Oreochromis niloticus: one gene and its partner. The protein of the gene in region 2 binds, or shares a complex with, the protein of the main gene of each other region. Links are inferred from orthologs where the notes say so. Each region holds a gene or a part of one and is shown on either strand. Other genes may lie near its edges.

What was found. The genes of interacting proteins can lie anywhere in the genome.
Region 1: zbtb8os (region 2) and fam98b share a complex: the UniProt entries of both Homo sapiens proteins name them as parts of the tRNA-splicing ligase complex. The link is inferred for Oreochromis niloticus from reciprocal best matches to the Homo sapiens genes ZBTB8OS and FAM98B.

The regions. Positions count from the first base shown.
Region 1 is NC_031983.2:15,982,707-15,990,561, forward strand, and holds the start of fam98b (protein FAM98B), read right to left. Parts: upstream 3,019-7,855; 5' UTR 2,880-3,018; coding exon 2,842-2,879; intron 2,698-2,841; coding exon 2,549-2,697; intron 2,457-2,548; coding exon 2,334-2,456; intron 2,250-2,333; coding exon 2,077-2,249; intron 1,490-2,076; coding exon 1,409-1,489; intron 1,312-1,408; coding exon 1,195-1,311; intron 1,089-1,194; coding exon 921-1,088; intron 835-920; coding exon 511-834; 3' UTR 1-510. UniProt on the Homo sapiens protein: Positively stimulates PRMT1-induced protein arginine dimethylated arginine methylation.
Region 2 is NC_031983.2:8,554,748-8,562,590, reverse strand, and holds the start of zbtb8os (protein archease), read right to left. Parts: upstream 3,007-7,843; 5' UTR 2,857-3,006; intron 2,702-2,856; 5' UTR 2,602-2,701; coding exon 2,520-2,601; intron 1,023-2,519; coding exon 998-1,022; intron 927-997; coding exon 784-926; intron 664-783; coding exon 581-663; intron 1-580. Other genes in the region: histone-binding protein RBBP4, read left to right, coding at 3,212-3,227, 3,661-3,808, 3,899-4,044, 4,679-4,852, 4,957-5,072, 5,204-5,364, 5,458-5,584, 5,663-5,740 and 3 more. UniProt on the Homo sapiens protein: Component of the tRNA-splicing ligase complex required to facilitate the enzymatic turnover of catalytic subunit RTCB. Together with DDX1, acts by facilitating the guanylylation of RTCB, a key intermediate step in tRNA ligation.

The DNA.
Region 1 (7,855 bases), about 7.4 Mb from region 2:
GGAAATGGTCTATGTGCTGACCAATGTTAAAGATACAGGCTGTGTCCAACTACTGCAACACTAAATACTAACTTAACACCTGAACGCTGCAGAATGTGTTTTTGTAGTATATAAAAGGATCTCAGCTGGATTTACCATTTAAAGTCACTTTGCCAGTGTTTACACACCAGCTGGGAATTAGAATGTAGTCTTCATTTGGAACGTAGTTGCAATATTATGGCCACAGCGTTTGTGTTTGCCACCTTTGTATGAGTGAAAACTCATGTACTGAGTGCTACTTTCACTTTAAAAACACTGATGAGAATAGTGAAGGGGAAAAAAGATGATAGATGGCACAGATTAAAGCTTAACGTTTTTCCACCCAATACTGACAATCAACCATCAGATTTTTAAAAAGTTCTCTCATCCATAAAAAACAAATAAACAGTTGAGGTCATGTGAAAAACTACGTCTAGTATCGCAACAAAACAAAAACAACAACAAAACCCAGCAAAAGACAATGAGTGGAAGCTAATACTGGTACCGTCCTCGCTTCCCTCCATGCCCACTGTGTCCTCCGTAATCTCCGTGTCTGCTGTGTCCTCCTTGATTCCACCCACCTCCTCTCCAACCACCTCCACCTCCTCCTCTTCCTCCCCCTCCTCCCCATCCACCTCCACCACCTCTTCCTCCTTGTCCCCAGGCTCCTCCACCTCGTCCTCCACCACCACCGCCACGTCCTCCCCAGCCACCACCTCCGCCATCTTGTCTTTTCTGCCAGGGGGGCATCTCAGGAGGCGGGGCTTCGATCTCTGAGGGACGTCCTCCTCGATCAGGTACTCTTCCCATCAAGATCTGCGAAGACAGGTTAAACAGAACATCTATGAAGAAAACGTCCAAATCGGCCTGATTATTCCGGCCGTGGGAAACGTTTGCTGCACCTTGTTGACGGCACAAGCGGTCTTCTCCCTGCTCGAGCCACTGCTGGTCTTCACCACATTGCAGAGATCTTCTCTGGCAGCCAGCAGCGCCGCTATGTCCACAGAGGACTGAGGCCTCAGAGAGTGTCTCCTAGGCTGGTAGGCTCCTGCCATGCTGTCCACCTTCACCTAAAACACAACACAACTATCTGAATGCTTTTCGCTATCCACCAAATAACCACAAAACATTCTTCAAGCAAGCAGATGTCAGTTTGAAGTGTGACTGTAAACATACCTTGGCTCTGTCTGACCACCCAAATGACTGAATCGTGACGTCGAGCCGTTTGATCAGCATCCTGCGGCGACATTCGTACTCCGACGATAGAGTTGCGTTGATGCTTTGTAATTTTTCCTGCAAGCATTAAAAAAAAAAAGGCCTGTAACAACAATACGACCAGATACATACACAGTACAGTGTAGCTATGACATTCAGCCGATCATATACATACCCACTGTTCACTACTGAGTGATTTCTTCAGCACTGGGTTTCCAACAGAGGCACCAGGAAGGGTTTTAAGCAAGTTTTCAACCTGTTAAACAAAAAAACGATCAAAGAGAGACAGTGACGTAAAAATACAGTGATTAATGTATCACACAATTTCCTCCTAATTTGCTATCTCAAGTATTAACAGCTAATGCAGGAAGAAAATGAAGGAAATGTGTTGATGTCTGTCTGTGCCACCTAATAATAATGAGCAGAGAGTGCTACACATTTAAATTACACGGTCCAGAGGGTTTTTTTAATGTGTTAATTTGATTATTTTGGAATGGGTGGGACAGTAGTTGCCTCACAGCGAGGTGGTCCTTGGTTCGACCACACCATCTCCCCAAGGCCTTTCTGTGTGGATTTTGCATGTTCTCACTGTGTCTGAGTGGGTTCTTATCTAAGGCTTCCTCCTTTTTCTGAAGAATACTTTTTTTTTTAAAGATTGCATCATGCCTTGTGTTAAAGTAGGAGGAGCAGATCTTTGTTCATTTTCTTTTTTGTTTGATTGCTTTGCAATTACCGTAAAAGAATTGCGCACACTGCTACTGCTACACATACATTTTGATCAATAAATCGAGCGTTATTCTTGCTCATCCTAAATGAAATCACGTGCAGTTCAAACAGCCTCACCTTATTTTGAAGTTGAGAGAAAACTCCTGCAGCCTCCTGTCCCTTTGGCACGGGTAGTTTCAGAGTTTCACAGATTGCTGTGAGCTCCTGGTTCACTGGACTCTGGTCTTGTTTATCAGAGACTTGCCTGCTTCTCACAATCTGGGCTGCCTGAAGCTCTGAGCTTAAAAACACTGAAAAACAGACACAAAAATTTAATCTTCCTGCTTACTTACAGTTTACAGCCCACAGAGTGGATTACACAGAATGATACATACAGACAAACTTGAGATGGTCTTTTGTTTTCTGCCCAGTGCCCTTGAGAATCCCTGAAACTTCACAGGGGCAGTGCAGCTCCCTCAGCAGACCACTCATCTCCAGCTGGAGGCTGTCCATATCATCTTGGAGGAGAAGAGCAACCAAAACAGATGTGAGCGCAAAGATTAGACACTGATTTTTAGATCAGATTAAGGTGAGAATGGATGCTGCTCACCTGGGCCTGAGGTGATGCTCTCCTCCAGGTCACACAGCGGCTTTAACCTGGCTGACAACCACTTGCAGAGGTCCACATATTCAGGCGACTGCAGGCCTCCTTCTGCGGCTCTGAGCAGCGCCTTCTCCTCAAGCAGAGGGCCGTCATAGCTACGGACCAGCACACAGCGCCAAAAGTCAAACACAGCCAGGAGTTAGACGGGGGTCTTGGCTCAACCGGCTGCTTTATTTTGATTGAAAACACGCCGCAGGACGTGGAAGCTAAACAGTTATGCTAGCAGTGACTTCGCTTACCCAAGCTGCTCTAACGAGTCCAAAATGTCACACTCCATCGCTGAAGCCGCGAGCTGTTTCACGCGCGTGTATCTACTTAAAACATAACAGCACAGGGGGCTTTAGCGTCCATTCATTTCTTTATCGTGGATATCCTCCTCCACTGTGGTCCGACCATGAAAAAGACCCGGAATGAAACGGGCGAATTTCGGAACTATGTTCCGCAAATTTGGTTCCGCCTAGTGAAAGTCCAGTTTTAGCAAAACTGTAAGTAAACCGTGTCTGTTTCCAAAATTAGAGGTATATATTTAAAGTTAAAACAATAAACTTTGTGCATTGATGTCGGAAAATAGATGACAAATACAAATGCTAATATCTAATCAGCCAATTATATGGCAGCAGCTCATGTAGGCATTTAGACCTATGACCAAATTTAGCATCAGAATGGAAGAGAAAAGTCATTTAAGGGACTTTGAACCCATGTCTAGGGTTTACAGGGAATGGTCCGAAAAAGATTATAGCTATAGATAAATGGCTCCAATCTTAACCTGGGGGTTGTCTTGTTTGTTTTTTTGTTCTTTTTTTCCACAAAAATTGGTTCTTTTATGTGCATGTAACCTTCAAGTTGAGCTCGAATCTGTACTTTTGTATGTAAAGCTCCATGTCCAGACCAGGATGCAGGGGAAATGGACGAGACTGGTTCCCCACCATCCAGTTCTTCCTGGTGTCATTCTCTCTGTATTTGGGATACACGCGCGTCTCTGACTACAAACACCACCCGGGCGACGTCCTGGTGGGACTGCTGCAGGGCCCTCTCATCGCTGTGCTCACAGTGAGTGCATTTCTGCGTCACTTTTACTGATGTTTATTATTAAAGCTGAGGATATTTAAACAATTATATAAGGGGAAAACTGAAATCCTCTATTTTAAGGTGTAGATAAACATTTTTCCACTTTTTAATCATTACTTCTGAAACCAAAGGCTGGCTGAGCAGCCTCTTCCTAAAATAAAATGGTGTGGATTGACAAGCATAAAGACCTAATGAAGGATTTTGGTGAGTTTTGCCAGCTTTCAGGTTGGCAAAGGAGTAGTGGGACCCACTGGAAACCTTAGACCAGGGGTGTCAAACTCCAGGCCTCGCGGGCTGGTGTCCTGCAGGTTTTAGATCTCACCCTGGGTCAACACACCTGAATCAAATGATTAGTTCATTACCAGGCCTCTGGAGAACTTCAAGGCATGTTGAGGAGGTGATTTAGCCATTTAAATCAGCCGTGTTGGATCAAGGACACATCTAAAACCTGCAGGACACCGGCCCTCGAGGCCTGGAGTTCGACACCTGTGCCTTAGACTGAGTATTGATCAGTCCAGTGCAGGGGTGGGCAACTCCAGGCCTTGAGTACTGGTGTCCTGCAGGTTTTAGATCTCACCCTGGGTCAACACACCTGAATCAAATGATTAGTTCATTACCAGGCCTCTGGAGAATTTCAGCATTTCATGTTGAGGAGGTAATTTAGCCATTTAAATTAGCTGTGTTGGATCAAGGACACATCTAAAACCTGCAGGACACTGGCACTCAAGGCCTGGAGTTGCCTACCCCGGTGCTAGCCTGTAAATATAGACCAAAATTGAGGCAGTTCTGAAAGTAAAAGGGGTCTAACCAGCAGTATAAAGGTGGAACTAATAAAGCGTCTGTTAAGGTTATGATAATATGAGGCAGACAACTGATTGTATCTCCATCAGCTGTTATATAACTTTTGTAAAAATTTACATTTTGTCAGAATTAGAATTGGTACACATGTGTTGTGAATTTGGTTCATGCAGGGATACAGTGGACCAAATAATTCACGTGACCAACAATATCGAAACAATCCTGTTTGTATGGCATAGCAAGTTTTGCCCAAGGTCTAAATATCAATACTGAATACCACCACAGAATTAGGGAAAGTGTAATGACTGGAGTGAAACCAGACTCCAGACCTATCAGACTTCTCAGGCTGGCTATCTTCCACTCCTGAAAGCATCTACAATGGGGCCATCAGTATCAGAACTGAACTGTCAGCCGACTAGTATGACGAAAGTGATGGCAGCTGGATGCACCAAAGGAAGCAGCCAACATGGTGGAGGCAGTGTGATGCTCTAGGGAATGTTCTGCTGGGAAACTTTATGTCCTGGCTTCCATGTGGGTGTGACCCCCTACCTAATGTTCTAGACCACTAACAACCACTTATGACAACTGCTTTTCCTGATAGTGGAAGCCTTATTCTGCAGGATAATGAGTCCGTAATTCTATCGCTATAACTGTTAATTATACTACTGCCCATCTAAGTGAGAATACACTTTTTACATCTTAGCAAGTTCCACAGAAACAATTCTGCCTTCATGGCTTCTGAGAACCAGCTCACATTTCTATTGCATACAATTACCGGCAAACATTGCTGTGAATTTTGTAGGAATTTAGAACATTGGATCTCTCAGTTGTTGATAAAGCTTTTTCTGCAGCGTCCTTTGCAACCACTGACATCGACTCAAAGTAGAGCAGCTACTCCTCTACATCAACAAGAGCCAGTTAACGTGGTTCAGACATCTGATTAGGATGCCTCCTGGGCATGTCCCACTGGGAGGAGATCCAGGACATGCTTGAGAGATTACATCTTTCAACTGGCTTGGGAACGCCTCAGTATCCTCCTGAAAGACTGGGGGAAGATGTCTGCAGAGAGTGAGGTCTGGACATTTCTGCTTTGACTGCTGACCCATCAACCCTGCCCCAGATAAGTGACAGAAGATGGATGAATCGATGGCTAGATGGGTTTGGGGCTTGAACTAGTTCTACATTTTGTGGTCCCACCTCACAACGTATAGAACCTAAAGGATCTGTTGCTGAAGTCTTGGTTCTCAATCTTCAGAGGTCTCCACCCATTTAATGTTGCGGTTCACTGAATGTATGTCTTCTTTAATTTTGTCTTCTCTATACAACATTGTATACGTTGGCTGTGATCAAGAAATCAATCAAGCGCAGGCAAAAGATTAAAACTCACCATTTTATTATGATAATGTTATTTGATATGTCAAATTACAAGTGTATGATGTAACATAAAAACAGTTACAAACATATGTATGCATATTTACATTATATTTATGAAAAGTAACAAGCTACATCTGTATAAAGAAAATACAACTATGACATGAGTTATTGGTACTATAAATTTTACAACAGATACTTGGTATTCTCGAACCATGATAATACCTAGACGTGTAGAAACCAATAAAACCAGAACAAGAGATGTTAAGATGGAAACTAGGATGGACGTGAGGCACTTTTTTGAGGTTGTCAGGATGTGAAAGCAGATGGCACTAAAAGGAAACCCAAAAAAAAAAAAAAAGATGCACAGGAAAAAGAAATGTGCACAAATAGAGAAAGTGAAAGAACGAAAAGTAAGAAAACAGGCAGTGTTTTACAGAATAGTTAAGAATAGTACCATTTATACTGCAAGTTTCAAAACACAAATGTCTTCCACTATTTAGAACTAATCACGTAAATGTTACATCGAGCGCTGTAAGATGAAAAAAAGCTTACATATAGTATCATCAGTGCATCAAAGCATCGGAGAATTGAAACATAACCACTCAACTGCTGTAAAAAGTAACCGTTTTTAAAACAATACACTGAAGAGAAACAGGTTTATATAGCTTTTTTTTCATCTTTCTTAATCTACACAATGTCAAGAATGTACACTTGTATGCATTCCCAAAGATATGCACAGTTTCCAAGATTGAAAGAGGATAAAAGACTAGCAGCAAAGTGGTTAAAACTGAAGTCTTTATATAATGCAGGTCAAAAAAATATATATATATTAAAGCGGACAGACACATGTTGCATATATAATACAGTACATGACAGGAAGTTGCACTGTGCTGGTTAATGCAGAATGAGAAGTGTTATTTCAGCATTCTCTACACTTTGTATAAATGCACGTCCTACATTTTGCTTCTCAGCCAGCAAGTTTTAATCAGGTTCATCAAACCTTGGTTCAGCTTGCAATAATGCAGGGTAATCAGATTACAATGGGAGAAAAAGACAACCAACCAAACATTTGGTTACACACACACACCAACGCACACGCGAGGCACACGCACACCGCCAACCTACCTGGAATCTAGCACGCACACACATACAAACACACATCCGTGGGCACATATAGTAACACTCTCGCACCCACACACGCACAAGTGTCCACTTCATCACACAGAGCAATCAAACATTTCAAAACTGACCGTTGTCGTTATATGCTGTTGGAGAATTAGGGTTTAACAGTCGTTCATAGCTGATTTTCTCTGTCAACACAATAAAATTAGTGATTGTATCTAGCAGCTTTATACGTATGTATGTATGTATATTTATATATATATATATTTTTATATATCAAACTTTAAAAATAAGTGGACTGCCACTACTGTACCGTGTTAGCACTATCCTTCCTTCTACCGTACAAAACTAGAGAGAAACTCTATTAGAAGCTCAATAGTCATTTCCATCACAAACGCCCTCTACTTTTCAATGTGAAATAATACTAAAAGGTGACCTATGTACAAATGCTGTCATTTCAAGCTACGGTATATGCTGACAGCAACGATAAATACAACTCTATCTTTAAAATTTTAAAGACAAAAAAAAAGAAGAAACGAAAAAAAAACTGGGATTATTATCAGTACTTAAATATAGTGTTACATATTTACAGGTGTTTGGAGTTTGGTACCAGGGGTTTGTCGTCTACCTATATATAGCGTTTAAAATGTCCCGTCTAGTCACTGACTCAGTCCGCCAAGAGGTCAATGCGTTTCCCCACATTCGAAGGTTTGCATAGAAAGTAAAGGGAGCATTGGTTAGGGAGGAATCTGGAAGATAAATTGTTCTCTTGTACTCCAAAGTGAGGTGTGGTTTCTCTCTCTCTTTTTTTTTTCCTTTTTTAAACTCAGAGTGACAGGAGGTGGGAAAACATGCATATCTGATAGTAACAGCATTTGGATGTTGTACCAA
Region 2 (7,843 bases):
ATTTTATTGTTTACTCTATTTCATTTGTAAAACATGTATATACACACTCACACACACACACACACACACACACACGTAGAAAAACATATTTAGTACACACATTCAGTAATGTATATACCTTTATATATGGTACATATATTTATTACTTTTAGATTAACCATTTTTATATTTTGCTTGTTGCACGTTATTGTATTTTGCACAACTCTGTTGCTTGTGAAGCTTGCACACAAGAATTTCACTCGCATGTACTGTACCAGTGTACCTGCACATGTGATGTGACAATAAAGGTGATTTGATTTGATTTGATTTGATTTGATTTGAATTTGGAGGTGGTTAAGATAGCAATACATGTTGCTTTCTGTCCTGCTTTCATAGAAATCTATGAAGTCTATGTTATATTTCTGTGTCATAGAAAGATTTTATACTTACCCATTTAAGTAATACTGTATATCAAAACTGATCTATTTTATAAAGGCTCAGGCCTCAAATGCTATTGCAAACAAAAACAGGTATGCAATCAATCAATGTAAAGAAGTTTAAAGTACGTGTTAAGTAATACACAAGTGACCAAGACACTCACCCTAGGAATAAAGAAAAGATCTGCACTAAACTTGTATAACCAGTCATCTAGGAAGTGGAAGAGAAGCGACTCCATGTCTTCACCTTTTAGGAACAAAAAATAAACACAGATTTTAGCTGGTCTGCTCTGCAAACAGCCAGACTGACACAGGTAGAAAGTAGGTACAACTGAAGTCTGTTGAAATCTTGGTGAGAGACTCTCACCCTCCGATTCCACTTCAACTGTATCTGTCGGTTCCACCGTCTCTGTGTCCGTCATGTAGCCGAACATGCCCATGGCACACTGCTCAAAGGCTTCCTCCAAAGAGCCTCCCCAAGAGTGAATTCTTGGAAAAGAAAAAAAGAAGTTTTTTGGGGTTTTTTTAAGCGTAAGAAAAAACAGAGGAACATGGTTTTACTATACCAAAAAGGTACTCACTGTACATCTGCTGTGTGATCCAGGTCTGAAAAAAAAAAAAAAAAAGAGGTAATATCATGAGTTGACTGAATTAAAGTCCTAACGCCTTGCCACTGGCAGCAATCCTGAAATGTCTCCAGGTACTTATGTGAGCATTTATTTTGAAGAACTACTTAATTAACTTTTTTAAGGTAGCTCTTTAAAACTCAGGATTAGACCCATAATGGAGCCTTGAGGTACACCGCAGGTTTGTATTTGTATATACCTTTATTTTGAACATGTTAAAATAGTATAACAACAACAGGGGAAAAAGAGACAACAAAAGGAAAACAAAATAATAATTATAAATAACTTACATGTTCAAAAAGGAGTAGGAAGAAGCATAAGCTTATTTAATTCCACCCCCCTTTCCACTATTTGGTAACTAATAAATTCTTCCTTACAGTTTGGATTGTATCCAGCAAGCTTTAGATTCCCTCCAGAACAAAAATATTTGTGTGGTCTGCAAATAATACTAATTTTAATGTATCAGATACCTTACAAATATAATTTCTATAAATAAATGTAAACAAAGACTGAAGAAGCTGACCGATATTTTTGATATATAAAATGGACTGCATGTGGTGGAAAACCACTTTATGTCATACTTCAGGAATAAAGGGAAGAGACGGTAGAGATCGGTGTAAAACCTGATGGGTTTGTAGCCTCAAGATTAGTTTTCTTGACATGAAGGACGCATAATTACACATTTAAAGTAGACTGGCAACATCCATACAACATTGACAAAGAAGAACTGGATGGCTCACTATTGTGCACATTAGTTCTCAGATGTGAGACTTTAATAACAACAAAAAAATTAGAAACCTGTCACACAGTACAGGAGACATCAGTAGGAAATTGGCAAATCTGCTGTTTTTGTTTATAGGTGGTCACACTTGTTGGTGATCAGTTAATCAGGTACATTTGATTAACAGCGCCTACCTCCTGCTTACCTGAAAGAGTAAGGTTGCACTAAATTTTTCACAGGACTATATAGTCTCGTGAAAAATAGAATCTCTTTCACACAAATGTAAAAAAAACTGCACATATTAAAGATCTTTTTTGAATTTGAATTTTGAGAAAATTTAACACGAGCAATCCTTTTAGCTCACTGAAATCAAAATAAAACTAGACTTTAGGGGGAAAAAAATAGCTTATCATGGTAAAGGAACTATTAGCATTTGAAGTCAGAGTTTTCATTTCCCACGTGGAATTTTCAACTGCAACTCAAAGTAGGAACGGGAAGAAAAATCAGGATTTGTTTTTCGCCTTGCGAACAATATGTCACAGTTTGTTTGTTTGTTCGTTCGTTCGTTCAAAAGCACCGCTCCCACACGTTTATAGACAGAGCCCAGTTATAGTCGGGGTGATTGTTGGTGGTGACATGAGGGGGCGGTCCAGCTTAAAATATTGACAACTCGGAAATTTCGACTTCCACTGAAACGCACCAGCATCGTGGTTGGTGCGGTTGCTCCGACTTTAAGTATCATAACGTCGCACTTACATTCATATTTCTTGTTGATCGGCGGGTATTTTGATTTGACAGCTTTCTGTGCCTCTGTCAAGTCTAACACACGATCGTCCATTGTAGACAGAAGCTCGTTGAAAAGGTTTATCTAGACGTTTATCTAGACCATGTCCGTGTGTTCTCCTTCTTGAATTTCCGGGCAGGCTTGACTCGCCGTACTGCTTCCGTGAAAGAAGAAGAACACTTATTTTTTTTCTTCGCTCTTTTTTCTCATTTCTTCTTGTCCGTCAGCTTTTACATTGTTACACAATGGATATATTAACAGAAATAATTAAACAAATGATAAATTGTAAAAATTACTAGCAATAGGAACCTCTAGAGAGTTTATAGAGCATAGACGCGTATGTATATGTTATAGAGCTCCTCCTTGCAAAACAGGGCTTTCAGCTGTCATTAAAAAATGGCCAACTTATTCACAACGGCTTAAATACTACCTATCATTGTTATTATCATTACAGTTTGCAAATACCGGAAGTTACTTTTTTTTGGCACAGCACCGGATGTAGTAATGTGTCGCGTAATGACTTCCTGTCGGTTTTGTCGTCGACTCTGATTGGCTAGGCGCGTTCTATGGAGTTGGCGCCATTGCGAGCCGTCGTGCTGTCTTCTGAGCGCTCTCCCTAAAAAATACTTCTTTTTGTCATTAGTAGCGGTATTATAACCACACAATGGCTGATAAAGACGGTAAGGACGTCTACGTTTTTTAATAAGAACGTTATTTATGTGTGTGTGCTGTCAAGAGTGACAGAAAATGCGAATCAGGATGTAGCGGCGGTGGTTGCCGCGCCAGCCAGCATCACCTTTCATTGTTAGAAAGCATTCAGCTAGCTGTTAGCTGATGTTAGCGTTAGCTGCTAACGCGCCGGTGAAAAGGGTTTTTAATTCACCAGTGCAGTCTGATATACTGCACCAATATAATAATCTTCAGAAAGACTGTATTATTTATTTATAGGGCGACAGCTGCTCTAGCATTGTGTGCTACTGTTACTTTATTGATAAAATCAACTAAAATGCTAGTCCTGATATTAAAACAAGGAAAAGACTTCCTCAAGTAGCTGCTGCATATGTTTGTAAATTTGACTATAACGTAGCTTTGTGTTGAATGTTACTGTTGCAGCGGCTTTTGATGACGCTGTGGAGGAAAGGGTGATCAATGAGGAGTATAAAATTTGGAAGAAGAACACCCCTTTCCTCTATGATCTGGTCATGACCCATGCTCTGGAGTGGCCAAGCCTCACTGCTCAGTGGCTCCCAGATGTCACCAGGTAAATGGGAGATCTGCAACACCTTTTCAGGCTTCAAGTCACAACAAGAGATTGTAGCAGATACGTAAATGTCATGCCATATGTCTACAGACCAGAGGGAAAGGACTACAGTGTGCACAGGCTGGTTCTGGGGACCCATACTTCTGATGAGCAGAATCACCTCGTAATTGCCAGCGTTCAACTGCCGAATGATGATGCCCAGTTTGATGCTTCACACTATGACAGCGAGAAAGGAGGTGAGAGCATAAAAAGTCCATTGAGAACCTATGTTACAAGACTAGTTCACATGCCTAAGCTGGATCTGGATGATATTAATTTAATTGATCTAATCCAACTTTAGCACAGTAATACTGGTACACTTCCACCAGAAAAGTTGTTAGACCTGGTGAATGCAGAGAGTTTGGAGGACATTTCAGTAGTGTTTTAATTTTGCACATTGTTAATGTAGCGCTATCCAGCTCCTATATAGCTTATTGATAATTGTGTGATGGTGCAGAAAGAACACCATTGTTGGCTATGGGCAACTCTGCTCACAAGGGGAAGGAAAAGGAAGTAACGTATTTATAACAGCATGAATCAAATTTAACCTCATTCAGCGAAGCAAGGGCAATAGTGAATGTCAGCTGAACAAGTAGAATAGTAGCTTACGTACTTTTTTAATTGCTTTTTTAAAGTTCTGTAATATGTTTATCAAATATTTATTAAGAGCAAAACTGGTTAACAGGAACATTGGGCATATAAGACGCTACGTAACTTAAGGGTTGCATTTTTTGTCTAAAAAATACATAAAAATCCCTGGTGCGTAGGTCACCCTAAAACCTGCTTCGTGGAATGGAAGAGCTTCATGTATCTGTTGTCTTTTTATTTCAGAGTTTGGAGGCTTTGGATCTGTTAGTGGGAAAATAGAGATTGAGATCAAGATCAACCATGAAGGAGAAGTGAACAGAGCCCGATACATGCCTCAGAATCCTTGCATCATTGCCACCAAGACCCCCACCAGTGATGTCCTAGTCTTTGATTACACAAAGCACCCCTCCAAGCCTGGTAGGTTTGCAGAAAGAACACTTTTTCTTGCATAACTGCATATCATGCGTTACTACATTTGAAGCTCTACGGGCTTTTTAACAGTGACATTATTTCTGTTAAAGACCCTTCTGGAGAATGCACCCCAGATCTCCGTCTGAGGGGCCACCAGAAGGAGGGCTATGGCCTCTCATGGAACCCAAACCTTAGTGGCTGTCTCCTCAGTGCTTCTGATGACCATGTAAGAAACCTGTCTTGACATGCCTACCTTATTCTTGTAAAAATGCTTCTTTGTCTTCTATCACTTTGATAATCATTTGTTACTTATTTGTTCTTTTCTTTTTTTTTAACATTCCTCTGTGCTCTTTGCAGACTATATGCCTGTGGGATATCAGCACAGTTCCCAAAGAGGGGAAGATTGTGGATGCCAAGACTATCTTCACAGGCCACACTGCTGTGGTGGAGGACGTCTCCTGGCACCTTCTTCACGAATCGCTCTTTGGATCTGTGGCAGATGACCAGAAACTGATGATGTAAGCAGCCTCAGCCAATGTCATTAAAACAAAGTTGTTGTTCAGTTTCACATTTCTTCCTGACACTGGTGCTTTTGTCTGTTTTTGGAACAGTTGGGACACGCGGTCCAACAACACCTCCAAGCCTAGCCATGCAGTGGATGCCCACACTGCTGAGGTCAACTGCCTGTCTTTCAATCCTTACAGCGAGTTCATTCTTGCCACTGGCTCTGCAGATAAGGTGAGGCATCTTTCTTTCAGACAGTTACAGTGAATAGCATGTTGATACTGTACTGAATCAGCCTCCTTTTACTTGCAGACTGTGGCTCTTTGGGACTTGAGAAACCTGAAGCTGAAGCTTCACTCATTTGAATCCCACAAGGACGAGATCTTCCAGGTAAGAAGTGAACTTCCTCGCAATAAATCTGTAGTTGTTGTGTAAACTTCAGCTTGAATGTTTCAGCTCAGTAACTGCATTGTGTAGTGAGGCTATTTAGGCTGAGATATGTGTCTGGTGATTAACTAGCTTGTGGCTACAAAAGATGAAATGCAATTGTTATTTATGGTATAACTAAGTTAACAAAAAGACAAACTGTCAGGAAGCTGTTTGCTTTTACAGTTACAGTTGCATACAAAGTCAATACAATGAGGTAAACTGGTGGAAAACAGTGTGTGTGTGTGTGTGTGTGGGGGGGGGGGGTGTTCAACTTTGGGAAGAACATTTTAGAGAAAAAGGATTGTAGGACTTCGTTGTAACTTGTGAAAATATGTGATGGAAAATTGTTTAACACTTTTGGTTGTCCACTTGCTTGTACCAAGTGTACAACCAAAAGTGTTAAACAATAGATATAATACTTACAATTATATTCACCTAATTTCACCAAAGTACTGCAAGGGTGGGACTTAATTAGAGAGGTTTCATGTCCACATCTTTCCCCAACAGGTTCAGTGGTCTCCTCATAACGAAACCATCCTGGCCTCCAGCGGCACCGACAGGCGGCTCAACGTCTGGGACCTTAGTAAGATTGGAGAGGAGCAGTCACCAGAGGATGCTGAGGATGGCCCTCCTGAGCTGCTGGTGAGTTGTGACAATGAGCGGTGGTGATGATGCCGTTTTTCTCAACAAAATTAGCATATTTGTGGTGATGTCAGAGGCTCTGTGCACCCACACTCTCCAGTAACAGTCTTGTCCAGCAGATGGACTACAGCTCCACCAATGCATGGACTGCAGCTGGTGATGATAGTCATTGTTCTGCTCAGCAGCCTGAGAAATGTCTTGTGGCACACTAACTTCTCCACCTGCTGCAGTTTGTAGTTAGTGACCCTGTAGCTTGCAGCGGCTCTGTAGAGCAGTACAAGGACTACTGTCACCATATGCAATCCATGACAATAGAGTTGGAGTCCAGGAAGCTACATGATTTTTCTGGAGAAGCAGTGGTCAATGCCTTAACAGTGGCTTAGTCGGTCTGTCAGTAAGATGCCGCCACACTGGAAGAGCATGCCAAAGTCTTTGTGTGGGAAATACTGTAATGTTGCTTTCAAATATTGGCTTTGTTTTATTTTTTAAGCTAAATCTTGATCATTGTGCTAAATCTTTCTGCTTCATTTCATTTCAGTTCATCCACGGAGGACACACAGCTAAGATCTCAGACTTCTCTTGGAACCCCAACGAGCCGTGGGTCATCTGTTCAGTATCAGAGGACAACATCATGCAAGTGTGGCAGATGGTAAAGGCTTTGTAAAGAAAACTCGATCAGTTACAACACAGCGAGGATTTGAATAGTAAAGTGCATTTATTATTATAACATAGAAGAGCAGTTACATTAAAAATCTTTTATTTTTTTGGCAATTGTCTGCAGGCTGAAAATATCTACAATGACGAGGACCCAGAAGGTGCTGCAGATTCAGAAGTCCAGGCATGAGTCCGGTCTCCACGTCTCTTCTTCTTTTGACCTGCTCATTAAAAATGGATCCGTTTACCAGCGCTGGGTGAAAAAACAGTCTTTTTAAAATACATTTTGAGCAGCAGTGTTTTGTAGAAAATAAAAGAATAAAATGCTGCCATGTCATCACGTGACATATTTAAGACAAGGTCTCTAATGATCAGGTTTTTAGATCTTTTTAGTTTTTCGAACTGAAATCTGACTCGTGATGAAACCACAGACATGTTTATGATCACCTAAGTGTGCATTTTGTTTTATTTCTTTCATCTTGGTTAGTTGAGCAGAAACATTTCTGTGGAAGATCCATTTTTAAATGTTATTGTACATACTGTAGGTTGATCCTTTTAATTTGCCTGGTATTTGTAGTATGAAATTCCCCCAAATTGTGTTGTCACTTGTATGTGTTTTTTTTTCTCTCTGCATTTTCTCTGCATCTGATCTTTTGTGTACTTAAGTATATTCATATAAAAAATATTTACAGTACAGCTGTTTGCTTTGTTTTCTTGGCACAACCTCTTAGATGTTAAGTCGGATGTGAGCGAGTAACAAGACGTAGA